Linked DNA regions of Arabidopsis thaliana. The protein of the gene in region 2 interacts with the protein of the main gene of each other region in a pairwise test. Each region holds a gene or a part of one and is shown on either strand. Other genes may lie near its edges.

The links.
Region 1: the proteins of AT1G29950 (region 2) and SAC51 interact in a two-hybrid assay, tested with the Arabidopsis thaliana proteins (one large-scale study listed by BioGRID).
Region 3: the proteins of AT1G29950 (region 2) and AT5G09460 interact in a two-hybrid assay, tested with the Arabidopsis thaliana proteins (one large-scale study listed by BioGRID).

The regions. Positions count from the first base shown.
Region 1 is NC_003076.8:25,728,816-25,737,038, forward strand, and holds SAC51 (transcription factor SAC51), read right to left. Parts: upstream 4,499-8,223; 5' UTR 4,333-4,498; intron 4,009-4,332; 5' UTR 3,513-4,008; intron 3,415-3,512; 5' UTR 3,251-3,414; intron 3,165-3,250; 5' UTR 3,122-3,164; coding exon 2,075-3,121; 3' UTR 1,520-2,074; downstream 1-1,519. Other genes in the region: Phototropic-responsive NPH3 family protein, read left to right, coding at 1-680, 761-1,039, 1,111-1,410; FKBP12 (FK506-binding protein 12), read right to left, coding at 5,995-6,096, 6,246-6,298, 6,412-6,473, 6,655-6,688, 7,088-7,175.
Region 2 is NC_003070.9:10,488,204-10,496,468, reverse strand, and holds AT1G29950 (basic helix-loop-helix (bHLH) DNA-binding superfamily protein), read right to left. Parts: upstream 4,772-8,265; 5' UTR 4,636-4,771; intron 4,495-4,635; exon of another isoform or gene 4,115-4,494; intron 4,034-4,114; 5' UTR 3,572-4,033; intron 3,404-3,571; 5' UTR 3,009-3,403; coding exon 2,253-3,008; 3' UTR 1,871-2,252; downstream 1-1,870. Other genes in the region: AT1G29960 (Peptidase S24/S26A/S26B/S26C family protein), read right to left, coding at 618-665, 794-904, 1,218-1,442, 1,531-1,656.
Region 3 is NC_003076.8:2,942,219-2,950,927, forward strand, and holds AT5G09460 (transcription factor bHLH143), read right to left. Parts: upstream 4,622-8,709; 5' UTR 4,470-4,621; intron 4,132-4,469; 5' UTR 3,637-4,131; intron 3,535-3,636; 5' UTR 3,359-3,534; intron 3,243-3,358; 5' UTR 3,200-3,242; coding exon 2,219-3,199; 3' UTR 1,520-2,218; downstream 1-1,519. Other genes in the region: AT5G09450 (Tetratricopeptide repeat (TPR)-like superfamily protein), read left to right, coding at 1-58, 201-1,106; DIC3 (dicarboxylate carrier 3), read right to left, coding at 7,023-7,609, 7,869-8,295.

The DNA of each region.
Region 1 (8,223 bases), on a different chromosome or scaffold from region 2:
GAAGCAACAGCAGCGGAGGAAGCTCCGGACCAGATTGGAAAGGCGGTCTTCATATGGTTCTCTCCGCCGGAAAAACAAACGGACATCAAGATTCCGTCGCTTGTCTCGCCGGACTAGGAATCAGTCCAAAAGACCAACGAATGATCGTCGAATCTTTAATCAGCATAATCCCTCCACAGAAAGATTCCGTCACTTGTAGCTTCCTCCTCCGTCTTCTTAGAGCAGCAAACATGCTCAAAGTAGCTCCGGCGTTGATCACGGAGCTCGAGAAACGCGTAGGGATGCAATTCGAACAAGCGACGCTTCAAGATCTTTTGATTCCTGGTTATAACAATAAAGGAGAGACAATGTACGATGTTGATCTTGTTCAGAGATTGTTGGAACATTTTCTTGTGCAAGAACAGACGGAAGGATCGAGTCCGAGTCGAATGTCGCCGTCGCCGTCGCAGTCTATGTACGCCGATATCCCGAGAGGGAATAACAACAATGGTGGTGGTGGTGGTGGTAATAATCAGAATGCGAAAATGAGAGTGGCGAGGCTTGTGGATAGTTATCTCACCGAAGTTGCTAGAGATCGGAATTTGCCGTTGACAAAGTTTCAGGTTTTGGCTGAGGCGTTACCGGAATCTGCTAGGACTTGTGACGATGGACTATACAGAGCCATTGATTCATATCTCAAGGTATATATATATTGAAGGTCTTTTTGGTAAATTCGTAGAATAGTTTTCAACATTTTTTTGGCTTAATTTTGTTGTGATAGGCGCATCCGACATTATCGGAGCATGAGAGGAAACGGCTATGCCGAGTGATGGATTGTCAAAAACTATCAATGGACGCATGTATGCACGCGGCTCAGAACGAGAGGTTGCCATTGAGAGTGGTGGTTCAAGTTCTCTTCTCGGAGCAAGTCAAGATCAGCAATGCTTTAGCCAACACATCACTCAAGGAGTCAACCACTTTAGGAGAAGCCATGGGTACGTATCAGCCTATGATCCCAAATCGCAAGACATTGATCGAAGCAACACCACAATCGTTTCAGGCAAGTAAGAGAAAACACTCATCAAAATTCACACAAATTCCTTTTTTCTAATTCCTCTACTTTGAATGCAGGAAGGATGGGCTGCAGCCAAGAAGGATATTAACACGTTGAAGTTCGAGTTAGAGACGGTGAAGACCAAGTACGTCGAGCTTCAGAACGAGATGGAAGTGATGCAACGACAGTTTGAGAAGACGGGGAAAGTGAAGAACACGCCATCTTCTTCGGCTTGGACCAGCGGTTGGAAGAAGCTAAGTAAACTGACTAAGATGAGTGGACAGGAGAGCCATGACATATCCTCTGGAGGAGAACAAGCTGGTGTTGATCATCCACCCCCCAGGAAACCAAGACGATGGAGGAACTCAATTTCATGAAGTGATAGTGATGGTTTTGTATCTTCTTGATTTTGATTCTTTGAAAAGAAAAAGCTTTTGTTTGTTCCTAATTTGTAATGTTTATTGGTTTCTAATATGGAATAAGTGACATAAACGATTCGATTTTTATCACAAACCAAAAAACGCCATTTGTTTATTACAAAACCATTTAACAATACAACAATAGAGACACAACAATACCAGTAGCATGTGGGTTGAAGCAAAAGACAAAGGAATAGTTTGCATTATTACAGACACTCAAATTAATTACATGAACATGACATCAATATTTCATAAAAATCATGGACCCATCTAGTCATCATATGGACAAAAGAGTGTGTGTGGGTCAGAGATATTTTATTACCTTAGGGGAGATTCATAGATCACGCGAGCTTGAGATGAGACTTTGAATATTTGCCTTTTGATTTCACCATCCACACTCAGCCAAAAAAGATAATCATTGTCCATCAATGACCATGACGACTTTGGCTTTTCATTCCACACAGAGAGAAGAAGAAAGTGACCTCTTTTCTTCTTTAACTTTTTGAAATTTGCAGTAGCATATATAATACTTAAAAGTAGTCCACTATATACAGCTAAAAAGCTGGTGCAGAGGATACGTACCCAAAAACCCACTTCACACGTTTTAACTCGTCAGAATCTTTCACGCCTTATCTGTCTGCAGATTTCTTGTTCCCCATGTTGTCTCTTTAAGCAACAAGATTGGTGACTTGTGAGTGGTGGAGCTTTGGTTCTTAACCTCTGTGGAGATTAAGTCTCGTTTCAGCAACTTTAGGTAATCAATTGCTTCGTCCAGAAGTAAGAGCGCTTCGTTTCCTTTTGCACCAGGGACTACGCTCTCGAGTATTTTCAGAGCTGTGCGGATCTTGTCTTTCTTCGACTGCTCGTTGCTCAGACCAGAACCAGTGTCCTCTTTGGTCGATATGGTTTTTGATTCAGGGAGCTTTTTGTCCTTAAGAAAGGAAGATCCATTGAGTTGTGTGGAGCTCTCAGTGCCCACAAGTGATGATAAGTCGCTGATGTTGTTGACCTTATCCAGTAGTTTCTGCCTTTTACAAGGACCATCGATTTCTTCTAATTCCCTTTTGTTGCAAACTCCTTCATTTGGATAAGGAGAGTGACCAGTGCTCATTACTTCATCATCACTCTCGCAATCATCATCATAATCATCATCTGAATATAGCAATGCATTGATCTCCTCAGTGTCTTCATGCATTTCTGACTCTGTTCCATCACTCTTGTGAAACTCTTCACCATCTTCTTTGAAAGCTTTCTCTATACCTTGTAACTCAGAGAGTTTCACTGGTTCTGCAGCCGCATGAGATGGAAACCGTAGAGGAAATGGACATTGTAATAGACGAGTCTGGTCTCCTGACTGATCGAATATCAAAAGTCTTTTCTGAGAAGACTCTAATGCTCCAAGTGGAGTAGTAGTAGTAGTAGCAGCAGCGCACCAAGACCGCATGTCAGACCGTGAGAATCTTTTTCCATAAGACTCCTTATCATGACTGCACAGCAAAGACTGGAATGGTGGTGGCTGCAAACAGCGAGCCTGAAGCTTAGCTGCATATAGTTTCCCAAGCTCAGGGAGAGGAATTCTAGGAAGGACAGACCGACCTACTATATCCTTGAAGCAAGCTTGAGGACTTAAGCCCAGAGGCAAATCCCGTTGCCTCTTATCCAGAGGCATGCTCTTAGCAGTTTAGCTCAAGGGAACTTCAAAAAGTACAACACTGCAGGACAAAACAGAGGCAAAAATCAGCTCAAGAAAGATAAAGTCAGTAATATCACAAGCGTAATTAGAGGGAAAAGAGCATACCGATTGTTAAGTTGCTCAACTGAGTGAATGCAATACTTCTTGTGTCCTTTTCGAGAAAATAGTAAAAGAAAGACGAACGAAAAACAATCACAGATTGAAAAATGCAGCGAAATGTCACCAACCAACTACGTGACTGGTTTGAGTAGAAGTCTGAAGTACTCAGCCTGAAACACAAAGAATAATCACAAAACCACAGTGTTAGAAGACTAGAACTATATAAGCTAAAAGTATGATAACAAGAGCATTATTGTCTGGTACAAACCTGGCAATTATCCATCGGTTGATAGCATTCAATAACTCTCACTACAATTGTTGATTCGTTAGCGTTTCCGGTCTCGTACTTCAATCCTCGAAATCTTGTCTTACCAGGTGATTGGCACACCATAACTTTGAGGAAATCTTGATTGAAGAAAGTAGACAGATACCAAAACCAAAAGGAGGAAAGTTTTGTTTGTGGAAGGAGAGTGAGCTTTTAGTCTAGCTGATTCTTTGTTCACAATGGTACACATAGAAATGTTGTGATCCCATTTTCAAAAGTGTTTATAATATACCGAAAAAGAAGGGAAGATGAATAAGAAAGAAAAGGATTTGACTCTTGAAGGTGTTGCTTCAAAGGTGAAACAATCTACAGTATCACACGGCAATACAGATTCAAGCTCAAAACTTTACGGTATACGGCAATACACATGCTGTTTTCTCTTTCTCTTCCTCTTATACACACTCTAATTGATTCTGATCACTCAAACCTACTTTAGTATCTGTGCAAAAAGTCGAAGGAAGAATCTCATCAGCACCAAAAATGAGCTAAATCCAGAGATCAAAAACAGTAAAGGACATAGATTTATAAACGTCTAGCAAGTGGGTGTATTCACAGCATCAATTCCAGCAAAATTACGCTACATTTTACTATTACAACTCAGAATATACACAAATCACAATGTTCTAAGCTAGATTCAGACATAAATTACAGAACTTTACCATTTCACAAACGACTCAAACCGTTTTTAACCACAGTCTCCAGATACACAAACAGAGAGAACAGTGACACAGACTATAAGAGAGAAAAATTGGATTTTGATTACCTTAGAAAGGAATGATCTTTCGGTCAGATCCAGAGAAAACGATGAGACTTTTTTGTTTTTTTTTGAGCTGAATCAATGGAAAAGCAAAGGGATAAGAGAGATGAAAGTGACCAACGAACAATAATGTCTAAACGGAGAATTTTTTTTTACGAAATATTTCTAAAGAGGTGAGTGGCAACAAGAGTAACAAGGCTTTATAAAAAGATTTTATGACGCTTTTGCCCTTTTCATTACTTTATTTTACCAATTCACATTCTCAATTTTTTCGGTTTTTTGTTTGTTCTATATATCGAAATTAATTTTCATTCTATATTTTTTTAAAAGAAAAAAACTAAGATACGCAAAAGGTAACATAATTTAAGTTGTACAATTTGAATTTTTAATTATTTAGAGGAAAAATATGTGTAACTTGGAAATTAATCTAGTAATTAAAAACGGTGGCAATGTTTATATTTGTGCTTTGCTTGAAAGAAATGGGACAAGGGGGCCGAACGTGTATATACGTAATTATGGTATATATGATGACAAAGTCTCACGGTCCATAATTTCAGGTTATACTTTATCATTAAATAATATTTTTCTAACCAATATAATTTTTTAATATATACTTAATTCGTTAAAGTAAAAGTTCATACGTTTTCTCTTATTTATTTTAAAAGCTAAGTTAGTGAAAGTGTGGTCGAGCTTTATTATATCCTTAATTATTTTCTAAATAAATACTATTTCAGGTTATAATCCCTCTTTAATTTTATTGAAAGCTAAGTTAGTGAAAGTGTGCTCAAGCTTTTTTTCATCCTTAATTATATTTTAATAGTACATTTGTTCAGGTGCGGTGTTGTGTGTGTTTCAAACACCCATTGTGACGGAAAAGAATAAAAGCTAACCACTCTTTTTAATTGTTTAATTTAAATTGACAATTTAGCATCTATCTAGCTTATACAACGCCAAAATTAGCTCAATACTTTTGTTTTATTTTTAAAAATATTATGTAGACTTTCATTTATGTTAAAAGTTATTATTCATAAAAGGACTTATGTGATTGGGGAATGTGGGTGAAAAGAAAAAGAAAAGTAAAAAGAATGAAAATGAAAATGGAGAAAAGAAAAAGAAAAAAGAAGCATAAGTGATGATTAAAGAATTGCACGGGAATTTTAAGTGCTTAATTACCCGCACGACTTCTCTCGCGTCTCTCTCTTTTTTCTTCCTTTCTTTTGTTAACTTATGTATCTTGTCTGAAAAAGTTTTTAACTTTAGTCTTTTTTCTTCCTTTGATTTGATATTAAGAACAGTAATTTATACTGTGTTTTGAATTAGAAGTGGTCAATTCAAATTTCATTATGGTTGAGACCATTTGCTTTGGGTCTGATATGTCATTAAGATTGAAGTTTTAGTTTGATTCTTTTGTGCTTTTTATTGGCATTTTGATTGAATAAACAAAACCATTTTAATCAAAATAAAAAAACGGGAATAATATCATAATATAGTACAAACATTCCAACTGAAACACGAGACGGGTCTTTTCTTTTATTTAGATAAAAACGTTGTCCAAGAGTTTTAGAAGAGCAATGACATCACAAAGTTTTGTTGCATAAAGATCCCAGAAGCAATAAACATAAAGGGTTGTTTAATAATCTACCCACAGTTTAGGAGCTGGGGAGATCATTACTGCACGCTCAGTACTTCGATTTCAAAGTCGAGAACAGAGTTTGGCTGGATCCCCCATGCCGGAAATCCACCAGCGCCATATGCGTAATCCGATGAGCACTGCAGAAGCAGATAAGATCGCAAGCCAAAGATGTTAAACATATAACGAAACACCCAAACTATCATGAAAGACAAAAGTGCTTCAACAGAGAGCCATAAAAGCATAGATGGCAAAGAGGAACATGATGAGAGAAGCAGAGTATACATACCCGCAAGCGAGCAACCTCTCCAATTTGCATTCCGATAACGCCTTCATCCCATCCTGTAAGCAAAGTTAAACAATCGAATCATATGATGTTCACTCGCCAAAAAAGAGGCAAATAGGTTCAGAGATATGATATGATTAACCATAAAACAGAGTAAGTAAGTTTATACCTTTGATCACAGCACCTTTACCGATTTGGAACGAGAAAGGTTTTTGTCCCTCGTCCTTTGTACTATAATGATATACCAAAGAACAAAACACAGTTAGGCTCAAGGAAATACCAAATTAAATAAGTCTTTTAAGACGAAACATATTGATTTATAAACTGAGTATGCGTAGATGATAAGAACAAGTAAGTGTAATTATCTTTTTATTGATCCTAGAATCAAAGCTTACAATAAAGAATTATTTACCTCCAGAACTTCTGGGATAGATCACCATCTTTCCCTGCCAAAAAAAACACACACACAAGAGAAATAAGATTCTCAAACAAATTCATTTCAATTCCACACAAGAAACTGGATTATAAGATAAACAAGATTCTTTAATTAAACCTACAAATAGAAAATCTAAACAAGAGATCTATTCGTATGAAGTTTCAGATGAGCAGACAAATAATCTCGCAGAACAGCAAAATTACAGATTAATTATGACCTAAGTGTTACTATCACCACCCAGAATAGAACATAAACCCTAATTAAATCTATTTCACATCATAGAAAACAAACAAATAGCGAGTACGACTACCACAACACATCAAATAGCTCTTCAACAAAGCAGATTTGTATAGATCGATTTAGCCTATCATGGAATTTTCAAAGATATAAATATGCAGAGGAAAGTTACCGAATCCGGTGCAATGGACGGTGACGGTTTGGCCCGGAGCGGGTTTGGGACCGTTGCCGGGTCTGATGACTTGCTTCTCCACACCCATCTCTATATCTTCTCTCTGTCTCTCTCACTGTTTCGCGTTCTTTGCAGCTTCGAATCTCGGAGTAGCTTTTGCCTATATATTTTGTTATTTATCAATTATCATGCTGTTTGATCTAAACCCTATCTGGGCCTAACAATAATCCAAAACCCAATTCGATGAAATTTAGGCCCATTATTTATTCTTTCTCAAAGGTGGATAATATAATACTGTACCAGACCGAATTAAGAAGCAGAATCTAGCCCAAAACTATTTTTTACTTCGGATTCATCAAATTCAAGCCCAGACTTGTAGCTATCAAAATTTCCTTCGCATTTTTGAAAGATACATGGTCAAGAAGACAGAGCAATATAGATACAACGAACCTTCTTCATCACAATTACAGAAAAAATGATTATGTAGATATCATGTTTAGAGCCTAAACGGCTAAACAGTTCCATCATTAATGTCTTAAACAAGCTTTTATGAACAGACAATGGAACCTTCACTGCGCAACTGGAGCGTATAAAAGCCAGATAACGTGCACGAATCACCTCTTGGATAGCTTCTGTATCTTCTAGATTCTGCAGAATACTCATTACAGGTAAGTGAGAATACCTAGCTACTATGACTACACAAAAAAAACTCTACATAGCCGTTTAGGTCTTTACCTTAGACCCCAGCAAGAAATTCTTGACAAAAAGCTTACTTGTTTTCCTTACCTTTCAAAGCATCAAGGATGAATGAAGCAAGCAATGTGTGTTGTCACTTTCCCTCTTCGTTTGTCAGTCCAGAACACAACAAGTTATCTAGTGAATGAACAGAAGCAGCAATTACGACATGGAAACCACCTATGTTTTGCAATTTGCTGCTCTATGGCCTTTTGAGTTGGAGGAACATAATTCTTTTGGAACAAAATGAAACCTGAGCAGGATAAGTAACTCACTTTACTTTAGATAAGGCATTTGGCTAGTAAGGTTTTATAGTCTAATAAACCCGAGAAAGATAATCTTAATGCCTTTACTCAGAACTCAGAAGCAGAAGACTATATACCAGAAAGCGACGAAAGCAT
Region 2 (8,265 bases):
GTAGAGACTTTGACTGGAAAAACTTTTTTTGTAAGGACTTTGACTATATAAATTTTTATAACCAATTGGTAAAAATTGTGATAGTCGAAACTACGATTTTAAATAACTATCAAATATGTGGGAAAACAGAAAATAAATCACAATGATTGTTTTAAAAATTATTTGACACACAATTAAGAAAATCCCTACAGTTTGGCTTGACAAACTTGACGTTACCACCAATTGGTATCACCATGATTGATTTAAGTGAAAATAGAGCAATCTTTAAAATGTGGGGAAATGCTATTGATCAAGTAGTATTTTTAAATGGTTATAAGATTTTCCCATGAATAATCTTGGCTTCACACAAAACATTCGATGTTTGTTTTAACTTTTTGATACAGAGGCGACTCTCACATACAGCGTCAGACCAAAAATACATAATGTTACGTGCTCTCAAGTCTAAACCATATACTCACTTTTCCTGAGCGTTTAGATTCTCCCATCTTCGTGAATGGTATGATGATCCTGCATCTCATAGTCAGTCATGAGCCAGACTCACTCGGCAACAACGATTAACCATACTACCAATCTGCCTCGGTCATCTCATTGGCCTAATGACCAAGCTAACTCGTATGCTAAGTTGGGGTTGGTCCAAGCGGTCCAAAATCTTGAAATGGCCAAACCTACACATTATTATACATACCGAAGATTAGCCAAATAGATTTACCAAAACAAATGCAAATAACACATTTGAAGTTCCGAAATCAGATAATCTAACTATATTTGTAAGTTAATGACAAAAAGTTTATACCCTCCAAAGCACTCTGCCTTGAATAAGACCGTAAGGTACAGTACCAAAGTTTCTTGAGTCTCGTGAGTTATGAGTATAGTCACCTTGAACAAAGACATGTCCTTTAGGAACCTAAAACCAAAAAAACATCGAAAGATCAATTCGCCATTAATCCAACAAACTAAACAATCCAAAGGAAATTGTAATATACACCAATAACACTAACGTTGCTAAAAGATTCAAAATTTTCCATGAATTGCAATCAGCTAAATCGAGCTCAATACTAATTAACAACTTGTTTCAACTCTGATCACTCAATTTCTCAACAATGTATCTACCTTCTTCAAACTCAGTTCTCTAAGTACAACATTCAAAAATCTCATCCATAAGCAAAACCAAAGTGAAGTGAAGTCAACAAGGAAGAAGGTTAAGTAACAAAACATACCACAATGGTTTGAGATTCATCACTCTTCCTTGAATCAATCACAAAGCTTATACAATCACCTTCAATACCAATAACTCTTTTAATTGGAGTCTTATTAGGGTTTTCTGGAGATCGTATCACAACTATATCTCCACGACTCGGTTTCTGATACCGCTTCGAGATTCTCTCCGCTAATAACACATTTCCCGAAGGATGAAGCGTCGGAGTCATGCTCGGACCATAAGCCTGCTCAAAAAGACTACATCTTTATGGTAAATTTTCAATAACGAATTCGATTTACACCAAAAAAGAAGAGAGATTTCGATTGACTCACATAAGCCATGAATCCGAGATAGTTTGTTGTTACATGAAGAAAGCAGTAGAGTTTCGCGAGTAACACGCCGCTTTTCATGGCTTCTCGTGAAGCTGTGTTCCAGAAAGACGACGACGGAGTCGCCATTGCCTATTTCTTCAACTGAATCCAACGAATCGAGATTTGAGAACTACACAAAGTCTGCAGATTTCACGAAAGTGTGAAGCTTTGAGACGAATCGTTGAGCTATACTGTGTAAAATAAAATGTAATCATAACCCAATTTATAAACCCGGTTATTTAATAACCCAGTTAATTTCCATCAGAAATTGAATTTTGGTTACGTATAGGACCCGTTTTATGGTATAAGCGTGACTTTTCAAAATGATGGCCCTTACATTGTTCAGTAGAAGGAAGACCAAATGTTTAAAACTATGTAGAAGCAAATACATAATGATAATTGTAGTTCATAGTCAAATGATTACAGTGAAAGTAAAACCATACAAATTAAAATCTCAAATCAAATCCACAAGTACTTGTTCAAACCTTGCTTCTTCATCGAAGCAGTAACACACAAAAAGCAAAATACATAGAGAGATTCAAACATAAAATAGATACCATCCTGCCAACAAAAGGAAGTGAGTATAGAGGGAGGAAAATAAAGAGAAAGGTCCAGATAGCGCTAGACCGATGATTTACCTCCCGAGAAACAATAGTGATGGAAGAACCGAATATCGGTAGCATTCAAGATTGGTTTGAGAAATGTCCAACGCCAAGTTTCTGAGCTTCGATTTTAAGTGACTTGAGATACTGAACAGCTTCATCAAGAACGCAAGCTGTATTCATCTGTTCTCCTCCAGGGACAATTCTCCTCAATACTCCCATCATCTTCTTCATCTTTTTACGTCCTTTCCCATCATTGTTACTACTACTAGCACTGCCCGATAAACTCTGCTTCCTTGAGTTGTTGTTGTTGTTGTTGTTGTAACCATAACTGGAACAACAAGATTCTGCTGTGGTGTTTCCATAATCCCTGGAAGAAGTACGAGCAGTGCTGACTTCTTCTGAATCACCACCATCCTCTTCACCTTCATTATCATCATTCTCTTCATAATCTTCATCTGCGCTCAAGAGAGCATCGATCTCATTTGGATCTTCTTGATAAGAAGAGGATACTTCTTGCTCATAGTTACCATAGTTACCATAACTTCCCCCAACATACTCGTTCTGAAACGTCGAAGCTAAATTGTTCAACGAAGGGGTATTCATGAGCTTATGAGTCAGCTCAGGATGGTACATCACTTGGCTGCGGTCATATGTTTGATCGAAGATGACAAAGTTCTTTGGACAGACCGCAGACGGTTGAAGTTCAACACCATGGTATGGCAACTTTGCACATGGTGGGAACAAAGCATCATAGGATGACCCTGATGCATACGGGTTGTGCATATTTCTGTCACCCACTTCATCTGAGAAGTGAGGAAACTGATTGTTCTGCATCAGAAAACCCGTGCAAACGTAAAAAAGGAAACGCAAAGAGAAAAACAAGTTGTACACCTCAAACTGCAAGCTGCTTGAATATTTTCTACTACCGATTTGTCGCCTTTGTAAGCTTCCAGCTGCTCAGTTACTACTACACTAAGTTGACACACGGAACCAAATGCTATATCAAGTTATGGCCATCATACTAAAGATATCACGAGTTTCCACCAGAGCCCTTACCCCCCAAACCAGAAGCTCCCCCACAGACAGCTCTTCAGAATACCAGACTCTTTAACAACTCACAGTAAATTTTTTCGAAATCAAAAGTAGATAGCCGCTCAAAACCCCAATTTCCGAAAACTCCAGACGCTAGACTACGTTACAGGCTTAAGCAACTGTCTGAAATATTCAGCCTGCAATGATTTATAAGAAAGGTTGAATATCAGAAAAACTATGGTTAATACTCTAACAAATAGCTATCCACATGTCATCAAGAGGATAGAGTTCTTTTAATGACATAAATCAGTGTTGCCTAAGCGATAGAAGTGTTAGGAAATACTAAATCAAAGAGAGGCATGTACCTGGCAAACTTGAACGGATTGGTAATTAGCAATGAAACATGTAGTCATCATAAAAGTTCCTATTTCCTTCAATGATCGGTTTCCCTTCTTGTTTCCAACAATGCACATTCTCACAAACTAACCAGTATAATAAGCACAACAACAAAGAACTATTCCGAATTCCGGAAACAACACCTGCAAAACAAGGAAGAGATGCCAATAGTTTTAACACAAGAAGCTGTATATAAGGTGGCAACAACAAAATTTGCTTCCACAAGGTACCAATGTAAGACAAAAACACAAGATGTGAAATGAGAGGCTGGCTCACCTGAAAGGAACAAAATTACAGAATAACGAGGAAAAAGACAACCAGACGAGTGCAAGTTCTGTTGAAAAACATGAAGAATGCTGTCCAGGGCATCTTTGGTTCTTCCAATATCAAATTTGTAAGTGTATTAAATACCGTTCCTCTTCTCACAAACTCTGCACAAACAAACAAAAATTAGGACCAACGCTATTCAAATACTAATATATTTTCAGTATAGGAAGTTGAAAGGCACTAACTTCGAGGTAGAATCCTAAAATAACTACTGGCAAAACAAAACAGAGAAACAAAAAAATGGGAAATTTCTAATTCCTGATTCAGATAATAAAAAAGCACAACTTTAGGCATCTGCGTACAACAAACAAAAAGATAGGATCATGACTAAAGACATTAACATCGGATCCAGAATAAATGTTTTTCGATTTCATGATCACAAACCAAAATCAAAATAACTTAACAACTCTGCTTCAAAACAGAACACATAGAGGAAACAAAACCTCAACAAAAGAATTGGACTTGTTAAAAGAAAGAATCTTTACGCGATCATGAATAGTTTATTAATAATAACACAAACAAACATAAACAAGACAGAACATTCAATAGAAAAATCAAATTCAGCAATCATCTGATAAACCATAAAATAGCTATTTATGAGATACCGTCAAAGTACTAATTACAAGACAAAGAAAAAACATATAAGTCCTAATAAGTCAGAAATTGCGGCGGTATAAAGAAAGAAAGAAGCAGAAAACATTCATACCGTAGAAGAAATCAAAAACCCTTTGGATCAAATGAATCGGTGATGCGTAAAAACTAAAGCTTTAGAAGAATCTGATCAAATTCGAAAGAGTGATTTTTTTGTTTTGTTGTTACAGAGGAGAAGAAGAAGAAGATCTAAAGAGAGAATGATGTGTGTGGCAAAAAGAGAGAGAGAAGGGAAGGGTAGAGAAATAAGGAGAAGAGAGCGAGCGAGCGTGGCTTTCTTTTTCTGGTGCGGTTTGTTTTTTTTCGTTTGGTTTGCCCATTTTCATTTCTTTAATCACTCACTCACACACACTACACTAGTCACTACACAAACAAACATTGTTTAAAGTTAATAATTTCGTTTCACGCTTTTCGTGCGTGAATCTACTTGTTTTGTTTTTTCAAATGTGGAGCAAAAAGATGTTTAACTTTACCGCAAATTTTTGGAATTTTCAAAAAAAAAAAATGCACTCCTATTAATTTGATTCATCCAAGATAAAAAGGTAAAAAGCTTGGACAAAATATGTCTTTTTACTTGTTAGATTAGATAAAAAAAAATCTTGGAGTAGAAAGATGACACATTTTTATTAGTAGTGTTATTTAAATCCAACAAAGTATAAGAGTGTCGTGATACCTATATTGTTTCTTAACTTTTTCTCAAACAAAATATTTGTTTCTTAATCTTTTCATAATGTTCAGTTTCTTTAATCTGTTTCTTTCGGCATAAGTAATTCTTTAACTATTTCACTATCTAACTATAAAAGTGGATATTACTATTACAGTAGAAACTCTATAAATTAATACTCGATAAATTAATAAACACGGTAAATTAATAAATTTTGTAGGTTCCAAGTTGTGCCAATATAAAAATTAACCAAAATCAATAAAATAATAAGATAATCATTTTTTTAAAATTCCTATGTAAAATTATAGTCCCAATAATATTATAAATTAATAATTATAGATCTTAAATATATATTTTAAGACTAATTTTTATATGAAATTTTTGTTCAAGCTATAATTACAACTCTTTTTAAAATACAACTGATATGATCTCTGTTGTACTCACATAACTATTTGCGTATTTGATCCGTCATAGTTGATTTTATAAAATCTTTTATTTGAGAAAGCATTACTATGATTTGTGTAAAGAGAAACTGGATTAACTTTCATGTTTACGTTTACGTTCACGTTAATGTCGTAGATATACAAATACAAATCTTACCGAAAATAAATTAAAGAAGTCAAATTAAAATAAAAACCTAACATAATTATATATGCAAACAACAAAGCATATAGAAAATTACATTAAGAAATATTTTTAAAAGAATATAGTATCGTACTTTACGTAAATATTTCTATAAATTAATATTTATTAACTTATACGGTAAATTAATATATATTAATTTAGAGGATAAATTAATATCACTATAAATTAATAAAATTTTATGGCTCACCATTATTAATTTATAGAGTTTTTACTGTATCTAGTAAAATTTACTAAATCACTCTATTTGACCGGTGTCATGCTTTAGATTAGGTCTATTAAAAAACTCATGTATATCACTATGTAAGTGGATAGTAAAAACTCAAACAACTTCTCTTTAGGAAAAAAGAATTACTGTATGTAGAAAATATGTTATCCATTTCTGTAAAGATGGAACACACTATGATTACAGTGTTTAACCCATGTATATCACTATGTAAGTGGATTTTCTTGAATGAAAAGTTTTTTAAAACATAAAAATAAAATAGATGTTATGATAAAATAATAAATAGTGGAAATTAAATGGAAAAAAAAAAACAAGAAGAGGGAGCACGCGTGAGGGGATGGACAGAAGAGAGTCAAACAAGGGAAAGTGTGAGCCGTTGGATGAAACAATCACAAATGGTTTCCGTTTAATGCGGCCTTGATCGTGACCGTTGGTTTGGTTGCTCCTTTAGCACGCGTGAAAAGCTTTTGTGGACCTCTATAGCTCCCACCAAAAAACCAAACTCTCTCTTCTTTGACAATTTTTATTTGTAGTTTTAGAGACGACACAGTGACACACTCTTCTCTCTCTTTGGGCTCTTGTCCCAACCCCATACTTGTTCCAAAGAATATTACTTATTATTTCCAAACCAAACTCATCATTCTTGTCTCTTCACTTTCAGCTGTAATTTTAAGTTTATGTTGGCATGCGTATGCTTGGTAATATTTTTTTATTATTTGATTGGTAAGCGACAAACAACAAGTAAGAATATTTGGTGAGAAAAATAAAAGTAGATATTTGGCAATAAGTAACTAAGGTTTAAAATTAAATAATATATACGAATCGTGTGGGTTTAATTTAAATCATGATTATGGACAGCATTAGTTTCAAAGGAAACCATTCCACACATTGCGAAATAGTTAATCTCATGATGCTGCTTCTTTCTAAATCCATCATTATGTTTCTGTTAAAACTCATTCGATTGAAGTACTGGATGTTTGTTCCAAGTCTTAGTGGAAAAAAAAAGTCTTGTTAAAAGAATCGAGACAATGCAACTAATATTGTACACAAACACCAAACCGTTTCTGAAGCATTGTTATGGATGGCAAAAGTGTTCTTCAACACTTCAACGGAGGTCAAACCTGTTCCTTTTCTGCCTTGTTTAGGGAAAAAATATTCTAAAGCGAAAAGCATTTTTGGTATGAGAATATCCAAGTGCCAAGTGAGAAGATTCAAAGAAAAGTTTAGACGAAAAGCAAATGAATGGAATAAAAAAATATCAATTATAACGGAGTGTTGTTATGTAACTTTGTTAACAGTTGTAAGTAATTTGTAAAACAAACCAAGAGACAAAAGTTTATTTGTAAGGTATAAATTTTTTTTACTGGAAGGTAAAAAAAATGTGTTACACACCAAGTGCTTGAGTGTGGTTTTTAAAAAATGTGTTACAAAGTCATCAATATTCTTGTTGGTACCTTGTTTGCCTTTTGCTTATAACAATTGTCGAGTGTCGAAATGTAAGGGAAATGAAACTTTAGTGTTTTGGGAATGATCTTTGGTATTGGCAACAGACCATTTATAGTGACAAATATCCATTAGTGTTGAGGAATGTCCTTAAGTGCTAACGAAAACGCGTATTAGTGTTGAAGAAAATCTTTCAATGCTGACATAAGACATTTAGTGTTCACGGAAGGCCTTGTTAGTGCTATGGATGGAAAATGCTCTTATTTCTCGTAATATGAAAACTTGCTGCTACTGAAGAAATTGATCTTGATGACTAATTTCTAACTATTATATCACCTTACATTCTCAGAAGTTAAAAATAAAATGCATAAACTTTTTCAAATACAATCAGAATCGGTCAATCCGGTGACCGAAATCAATTATGATGTTTTTGAGAGTTCTGATTGAATTTTCAAAATCTACATCACTAGTTGGATAAAGGTGATTTTGATGGCTACCTTGTGATCATCATATCATCTGATACTCTTACTAGTTGGAAGCCAAAGATATAAACTCTCAAATACAAACGGAATCAGTCAAATCATATGGTCGAATAATAAATTATTATGTTTTGACACACCAAAGCCTAGCTACATGTACACTTGAGTTTATGTTGGTGAACGTCTTGATCACAAAATCTCACATACACAACATTGATGTCCAGCGTTAAT
Region 3 (8,709 bases), on a different chromosome or scaffold from region 2:
ACTCCGAGAGATCTCCAAAGAGCTTAGGAGAACTCGCCGTTACAAGCACGCTCTTGAGGTACTAACATCGATCATTTCCTTTTTCATTGGTTTTTCTTCGTAGCTCCTAGTTTCTAGATTGATTGCACAATTTATGATTTGTTATGTGTTGCTGCACAAAACTGCATTCTTCTGGGAGCTAATTCAAGTATTATTAACAGGTTACAGAGTGGATGGTACAGCATGAAGAATCAAAGATCTCAGATGCTGATTACGCCTCACGCATAGATCTGATTTCAAAAGTTTTCGGGATCGATGCAGCTGAACGCTACTTTGAAGGTCTGGATATAGATTCAAAGACAGCTGAAACCTATACTTCTCTCCTTCATGCTTATGCTGCCTCCAAACAAACCGAACGAGCCGAGGCCTTGTTCAAGAGAATCATTGAGAGTGATAGTCTCACTTTTGGTGCCATCACATACAACGAGATGATGACTTTATACATGTCAGTTGGGCAAGTTGAGAAAGTACCTGAGGTTATTGAAGTGTTAAAGCAGAAAAAGGTTTCTCCGGATATTTTTACTTATAATTTGTGGCTAAGTTCATGTGCTGCAACCTTTAATATAGATGAGCTTAGAAAGATTCTTGAAGAGATGAGGCATGATGCTAGTTCCAATGAGGGTTGGGTTCGGTATATCGATCTTACTAGCATCTACATAAACAGTAGTAGAGTAACTAATGCAGAGTCTACTTTGCCTGTCGAAGCTGAGAAATCTATTTCGCAAAGAGAATGGATCACATATGACTTCCTTATGATTCTGCACACTGGTCTAGGGAACAAGGTTATGATAGATCAGATTTGGAAGTCTTTGAGAAACACCAACCAGATATTGAGTAGTAGAAGCTACATTTGTGTTCTTTCATCTTATCTAATGCTTGGTCATTTGAGAGAAGCCGAGGAGATTATCCATCAGTGGAAAGAGTCTAAAACGACAGAGTTTGATGCTTCTGCTTGCTTGAGGATCTTGAATGCTTTTCGAGATGTTGGTTTAGAGGGAATAGCCAGCGGCTTTCACTTGATCTTGGTGCATAACAAATGCAGCTTGGAGAATGAAGGATCATCTTAAGATGGAGAAATAAGTTGGTGAAAATTTTATGCTCTTAGCAAGAAGAATCAGATCAAGCTCATTAATCATGGTGGATGAATAAAATAGAGGTTTCTTCTCTTCACTGTGATTCTTAAATATCTTTTTGTTCTTTACGTGGGAGGTCATGAGACACATAGATTTCCTCACCAGAAGATTTTGCTGCATAGTCGGAAGATGTGTTTCCTTAGGCAAGGTCCATAACATTTCATATGTAACGTCAAATTTCAAAAAGTCCAAATTTTACAACAAAAAATAGATTGTGGAGGTTTTTCTTGTATGGTTGTTGTTTAATAATAAGTCTACAAAATTTGTTTTTGGTATAGAAAAAATGATAGTTTGAAAGGTTAGAGCAAAATCCTAGCATGTAAGAAGCCAAAGAAGGTTCCATTATTAACACTCGAGTTTATTACATGAACATGATACACAAACATGTTTAGACCCATGAGAGAAACAACAGAAGCAAATAACATTACAATAGTACAAAACTACAAGGCCTTTGAAGAGCTTAAGAGCCAGAGAGATTAGAAAAAACAAAAAAGATGACAAGTTATGGGATTGATAGCAACAGAAGAGTAATAATGAGACAAGAGAGAGTGGGGACATAGATTTTCACCTAATGAAAGTGGGAAGATTTCAATTTCCACAAGTCACAACCACTCCAAAAATTTCAATATTTGCCTTTTTGATTTTTCTTCATCCACACCCACCACCACCAGACCTTCACAGAGATATTATTATTACTCACGAGTAAAGATAATTATTAACGATCAATGAGCACCAAGACTTTGCTTTTTTCCCTTCTTTCACTTTTCTTCCACTCCAAGCACAGAAGAAAGTGACTTTTTTTTGGTTCTTTTTTGAGAGAGCATGCCAAATCCAAAAGTAAACCACTATTGATCCAGCTAGATGAACAGTGGATACGGTCCCACTAGGGTCACCAGGCGTGTTCTAATTGTTTCAAACCCACGTTAATGAATTTGAGAGAATCTTCTTCATCAGTCCTTTACCTCATTGATTATCTTTTGTCCCATGTCTTCTCTTTAACCAACCAAACATGCCTTATCAATAGGACAAAAGGGGTTGTAGGTTTTTCACCAATGGTTATTCAAACCCTTTGATGAGTTTAAGCTTTGCTTCAGCAACTTGAGGTAATCAATGGCTTCGTCTAGTAGTAAAAGAGCTTCTTTTCCCTTTGCCCCTGGAACTACACTCTCCAGGATTCTCAGAGCGGTGTGAATCTTGTCTTTTCTTGACTGCTCGTCGCTCAAACCAGAACCCGTTTCTTGTTTGCTTGAAATGTTTGATTCAGGAAGGTTTTCATCTGATAAGCCTTTGACTTTAGTGGTGCCCACAAGGGATGGTGATGAGTCTCTGTACGAATGGTCCAGTAGTTTCTGTCTTTTAAGAAGTGGACCATCAACAGTGCTTTCAGTTTCATCCAGCTCTTCTGTTGTTATGTTGCACGCTTGTTGTTCAACTGTGAATGGAGAGTGACCAGTGCTCATTACTTCATCATCACTTTCCCAATCATCATTATCGTCATCATCAGAATACAGTAACGCGTTGATTTCCTCAGTGTCTTCGTGCATTTCCGAGTCTTCTTCGCCATTTTCATGATCTTCATGTTGCAATATCTTTTCTTGAATGGCATGATCTTTACTAAACCCTTTCTCTGGGTGTAGGGCACCGAGAATGTTCCCTCGCTCTGCATCCATAGAAGAAGGAAACCGCAGAGGAAATCCACATTGTAACAAACGAGTCTGCTCTCCCGACTGATCGAATACTATAAATCTTTTCCGAGAAGACTTGAGTGCCCCCTCTGGAGCAGCACCGTTGCTAGATCGCCCATTCAAACATGAAACTTGTTTTCCACAAGACTGCTGATCATATCTAGACAATAAGGCTTGGAACGGTGGCTGCAAATAGCGAAACTGATGCTCAGCTGCATAAACTTTACCGAGTTCCGGAAAAGGAATTCCAGGACGGAAATACTCAGTCGCCTTGTCCTGGACACAAGCTTGAGGATTTAAGCCTAATGGCAACCATTTCTGCTGTTTGGTATCAAGAGGCATGCTCTTGCAGTTTAAGCCAAGGGAACTTTACAGGAATACAATACTGCACGAAAAAGGAAAGGGACTAATCATTGGACATGGCTATGAATGAGACAACTACTAGTAGCCCAACTCAAGAAAGCAATAATCCATAAAGAGTCAAAGATTCAGTTAGCATACCGATTGTGGAAGCTGTTGCTCAAATGTGTGGAACGCAACACTTGTTGATTCTTTCTTGAAACAATCGTATAAGAAAGTAGAGACAAAAAGAAAAAAGGTGCCAGCTCCAAAAATACAAACACAAGCTCACAAACCAACTACGTCACTGGTTTGAGTATATGTCTAAAGTATTCAGCCTGCAAGTGGAACAGAGACAAAAGTGTTAGATAAGAAACACAGGACTATGAGATGAAATGTGACAAAAAAAAGAGTATAATATCATTTTTGCTGCAACAAACCTGACAATTATCCATCGGTTGGAAGCAAGCAATAACTCTCACTACAATTGTTGGTCTGCTAGAGTCTCCGTTGTTCTCGTACTTGAATGTTCGAAATCTTGTTTGACCAGCTGATTGACTTACCATAATAATAACTTTTCCAAACTCTCGAATGTAAAACTAGTGTTTCTCCACAGAACAGAGTAAGTCACCAAAAGACAGATGACTTGAAGAAGAAAAAGAGAAGCTTTAAGGGTTTAGATGATCCTATACTGGTCACAGTGGAAAACGTAGAAACGTTGGGATCCCATTATTAAAGAGTTTAGAAAAGGCTGAGGATTTAGAAGAAGATTGAAGATGGGGTTTTTCAAGGCAGAGAAAAAGTTTACAGAATAACTCGGCAATACAGATTCAAGCTCACAACTTTACGGTACACATCAACAGACCTTGTGAACCAACTCATGCTGTTTTTCTCATTCACTGCTTTGTTGTGATCCAGAGAAAGAGAGAAGAATTCTGTTACAAAACAGAGAATCATCTCATCAAATTCCAGTAATAACAAACCAAAGAAACCAAACATTCACAACAATTGAAAGGATAGAGAAACCATAAACAGCAGAAGAAGATAAGTACATGTTCTGCAGCATTGAACAAGTATAATTTATTTTAGCAAAATCAAGAACTAAAAGCTTGGATTTTGCAAGCCAAGCTACGAAAATAGAAGAATTTATCCGTTTTGGTAACGATTTAAACACATTTGCATCAAATTCGCTGATAATTCAACTTTTTCGAGGAATAAAAAAACAGAGAGAGCACAGCGACAAACAATGGTTAAGTGAATCCAAGAAGCGTACATGGAGGAAAACAGAGGAAGATCTATGCGTGGAGATCCAGAGAGAGTGGAGAGGTTTATGAGACGAATTCACGAAAGCTTGAACGGATAAGAAACGAGAAAGCGGAATATTATTTCGAAAATATATTTTTAGCAAATTCACTAAAAGTGGGCGTGAAGACTGAAGTGTGTGACATTGCTTTATACATCTTCTTATTTCTTGTGACGATTTTACCCTTTTCCACCACTTTATTTACCGTCAATAATGGAGACCAGGAAAAGAAAAAGAAAAAGAAAAAAACAGTTCACATCAACCAAGTTTATTTCAGATTTTTTTTTTTTTTTTTTCATTTTTCTTTCTCTTCCAAAATTTAGATAACCAAGCTGGAACATCAACTCTAAAAACTCATTTGAGCAAAACATAACACCATCTCCATTGCCCAACTTTATTTTCTTCTATTTTAATATTAACTCAATTTAAGAAGAAATATAATTAATTTTACTCTATTATATATTTTAGAATAGAGTTACTACTAAAATAGAAGAAAAATGTAGAGATTACTCTATAAATAGAACAAAAGACAACTTACTCTATATTTGTTTTCTATTTTAGAGAAAACTTTATTTTAGAGTCATACAATGAAATAAAATACCTTTAAAATAGAGTCAATTTTAAAATAGAAGAAAAAATAGAATTGAACATTGGATATAGTCTTATTATTTTGATTTTTTACTATTCTTTTTAGTAGAAATTAAAACTAAAATACACTTTAGTATGAGTTTCAATTCATATTTCTAACACATATTTTTTATAAAGAAAAATTAAATTTATTTAATTCAGTTCAATTTAAATTTATTTTAGAAAATACATATAGTATAATTTAAAATGCATATAATTTTGAATTGAATGGTAGAAATAATCTAAATATTTTTATTAGTTTGGATGGTTGCAATGGGACGAGGAGTAGAGGAGGTGGAACGTAGAATATATGTAATTATGATGTATAATGGCAAACCCTCGCGATCCATAATTTCAAGCCATAAATTAATAATTATGTAATATCATAAACGTGAGAATTTCTTAGTAGTTCGTTAAAGTAAAGCCATTATATGTTCGTCTTCTTTTTAACTTTTTTTTTTTTTTTGGGGGGGGGGGCAACGTTTTTTCTTTATAATTATGAGCCAAATAGTGGAAGTGAGTTTTTAACCATTTTGGTGGTTTCTATAATCATTATTTTTAAAGTATTAACCTTTCTTTTTAGGTGTGTGGGTGGGATGATTTGGAACATTTATGTCTTTACGATGACGCGATACAAATTGAACTATATACATTGTAACATATTTGACTAGTTTAGTAGCTAGCTAAATAATACAATATTTTTGACGTGGCTTATAAAACACCAATTTAGCCCACTCGTTTTTTCATATATAATTACGAACTATTGTACATGATATTTTAATAAGTGATTGAGGTGAAAAACGTTGGAGCATCCACCAAATTCCATGATCATAGGAGAAAGAAAAGAAAACGAATAAAGAGGTAAGCAAGTTTGGTGAAAGAAGAAAAAAAAAGAAAAAGAGAAAGAGACGCAAGTGAATGATTAAAAAAATGCACAGGGAATTAAGTGCTTAATTGCCTTGATGACTTCTTTTTCTTTTTGGAACATTTTTTCTAAAGATTTTAATTTCTCGTTGAATCTTTTTTCTTTATTTTGATGTGATATGAGATTTGAGAATAGTCGTTGCCGTGTGAGATCAGTGGACCCAAATGCCTACTATGTACTTCAAAATTCTTAAAATTTTAGGAAACAATTATTATGTGTTCTATTCGGAAGCAAATCATTGAAACATGTTAAAAGAAAGACAGTTAGATAGAAATTTCAGTGTGAAAAAACAAAACATAGAAATTTCAGTTCACATAATTGAGACTGGGCTTTGGTTAGATGAGTGGAGTGGCCATGCAAAATGGAGCCTAAACATGGCCTTGGACTTATTTTGGGCCATGTCTCAGCTTTGGATAACTCTTATACAATCTCATAAAACAAACACCAAATTGCCACCAGCTTCAAACTCAAGTAAAAAAACTTTAGAAAGATTTTATTTCTCTTTTATAGAGATAATATGATCAAAGTCAATAAAAGAAAAACATTATTGTTAATCTTATTTTCTTATAATTTTTTGCATAATTTCTAATTTAGATTTTTACAAACAAACAAAAGAAATTGTAATTTAGAAGCGATATTTCATATTTTCTGTCAACCAAGAAAATAGAACATAGTACCCAAAGAAAAAAAGGAATATACCAAATGAAGGTCCCCAGCAAAAGTATATCCCCCAAGTCCAAGAGACTTGGACCGTCCGAAAAAGTCCCTTTGCTTCAATCACTATCAGTTTTCGCATTTACTAAAAAAAATATTTGTGCAAATAAATAATTTATTTTTATACAAAAATCTCTAGTAAATATTACCTTAATCGCTATATAATTATTTTCAAAATATTTTAAACGTATATGAAATGTATGAAGAAATATGGGAATCTCAAACATTTATTAACCTAACTACTTGAAAAAAATTAATCAAAATTTAACGTCTTTTAACAGACCACGAACTTGTTCCAAGGTAAGGAACAAGATCATCGTGAACGGTCCTTGCCTCGTCGCCGTCGGAACAAGCCCTTTGTACAAAGCCATTGGTCCTTCCTCTGCCACCATCTTCACCGCACAATCCAACGGTCCACCGTAAATCTCCTTATCCGCATTCATCATCCTCGTCTTCACAACGTCGATGGGATTCGACGCCACCGCCGCGACGATCCCCGCCGCAAAACTCGCCGCTACATGCGTTCCTATCCCTCCCGGCGTTCCACGGCCACCAGCTACCAAGATTTCTTTGACGTGATCATACGTAGCGAGCTGAGAAGCTGTCACGATCATGGCACGGTTCACGGTTAGCCATGAGCCACGCCATAAACTTGAAACGCCTTCTTGCCTTGCGATCCTGTCGATCGCGTCCACGACGCTCTTGTAGTTTCTGCGACGGTTTAACGGCAAGCTTCCGTCGGCTTGCATTCTCACCATCGCCACGTCAGCAGGATTCCCGACGACTGATCCAACGGCTCCTGCGATGAGTCCAGCTGTGATCTTGGTTACCAATGGGAAGTTACCTGTTTGGAATTATCGTTTACGTTTAATTTATTTGATCTTTTGTGTAATAATATGGAAAAAATTCGAACCAAACAAACCGAAACTGTTTAAGATCGAAACCGAACCAGCATTTGTTTATAAATCCATTGGTTTTCTTATTTAAAACCAATAACCGAGAACTGTAAACGACTTTTAGTGTAATCAAACCAAACCAAACCGAATAAAAACCAAAATTATTTTTTGAGTAATATTGTTGCCGATCGAGTTTAGTATTATTACCGGTGAGTTGATCAGTCCACCTTCGTTTAAGAAAGTCGTATATACCCATACGGGTGGCAGAGTAAAGCATCTGACGGAGGATGGTGGCGGAGACGCCGGAGAAGAGAGCGGCGGGTCCTTCGGTTTTGACAATGTGTGCCCCTACGGCGAAAGGGGTCATGACGGAGCGCGTGGAAGAAGACGGCGCGTGAATGTGTAAGGGTAATAAGGAAATGCTGCCGATGAGAGAGTCAAGAGCGAAAACGGGTCGGTAAGGTTTCACGGGAAGATTATGATCAAGGCTAAGATTAGGGTTAGGGTTTTGGTCGAGCGAGAAAGAATGTTCGCCTTGAAGCTGCATACGGACTTTGATGAGGTCTAATGGGTGAGTCAGAGCTCCGGCGATGATTGCGGCGATGCCACCTTCAAGAAATGGTTTGAAGCCCATTGAAACGATTACCGGAGGATTTTATTGTAAGGAGAGAATGTTTTGAGGAATGGGAATTGAAAGAAAAGAAGAGTTTGGGAGATAATAGATCTTTTGTAATAAAATGTTTGGAGAAGAAGAAATGAAATTGAACAAGTTGGAATGGAAGAAGACAAACTACTTGAGAAGAAAATAATGCAACGAGTAGTTGTGTTTGTGTACTAGTCCTGAATTACGGGTTCCAGCTTTTAGCACAATGTTTCTTGTTTTGTCTTGATGCACACCTTGGCATTACAGAAAAAGAATAATTGAAGCTAGAGGAATAAACCAATATTGGTCAATGAAACCAATGTTCTATATCTAACATCTACTCATAAAATTTGATGTTTCATTAAGACGAACGTCATATACACCGACAATTGACACATTATATCT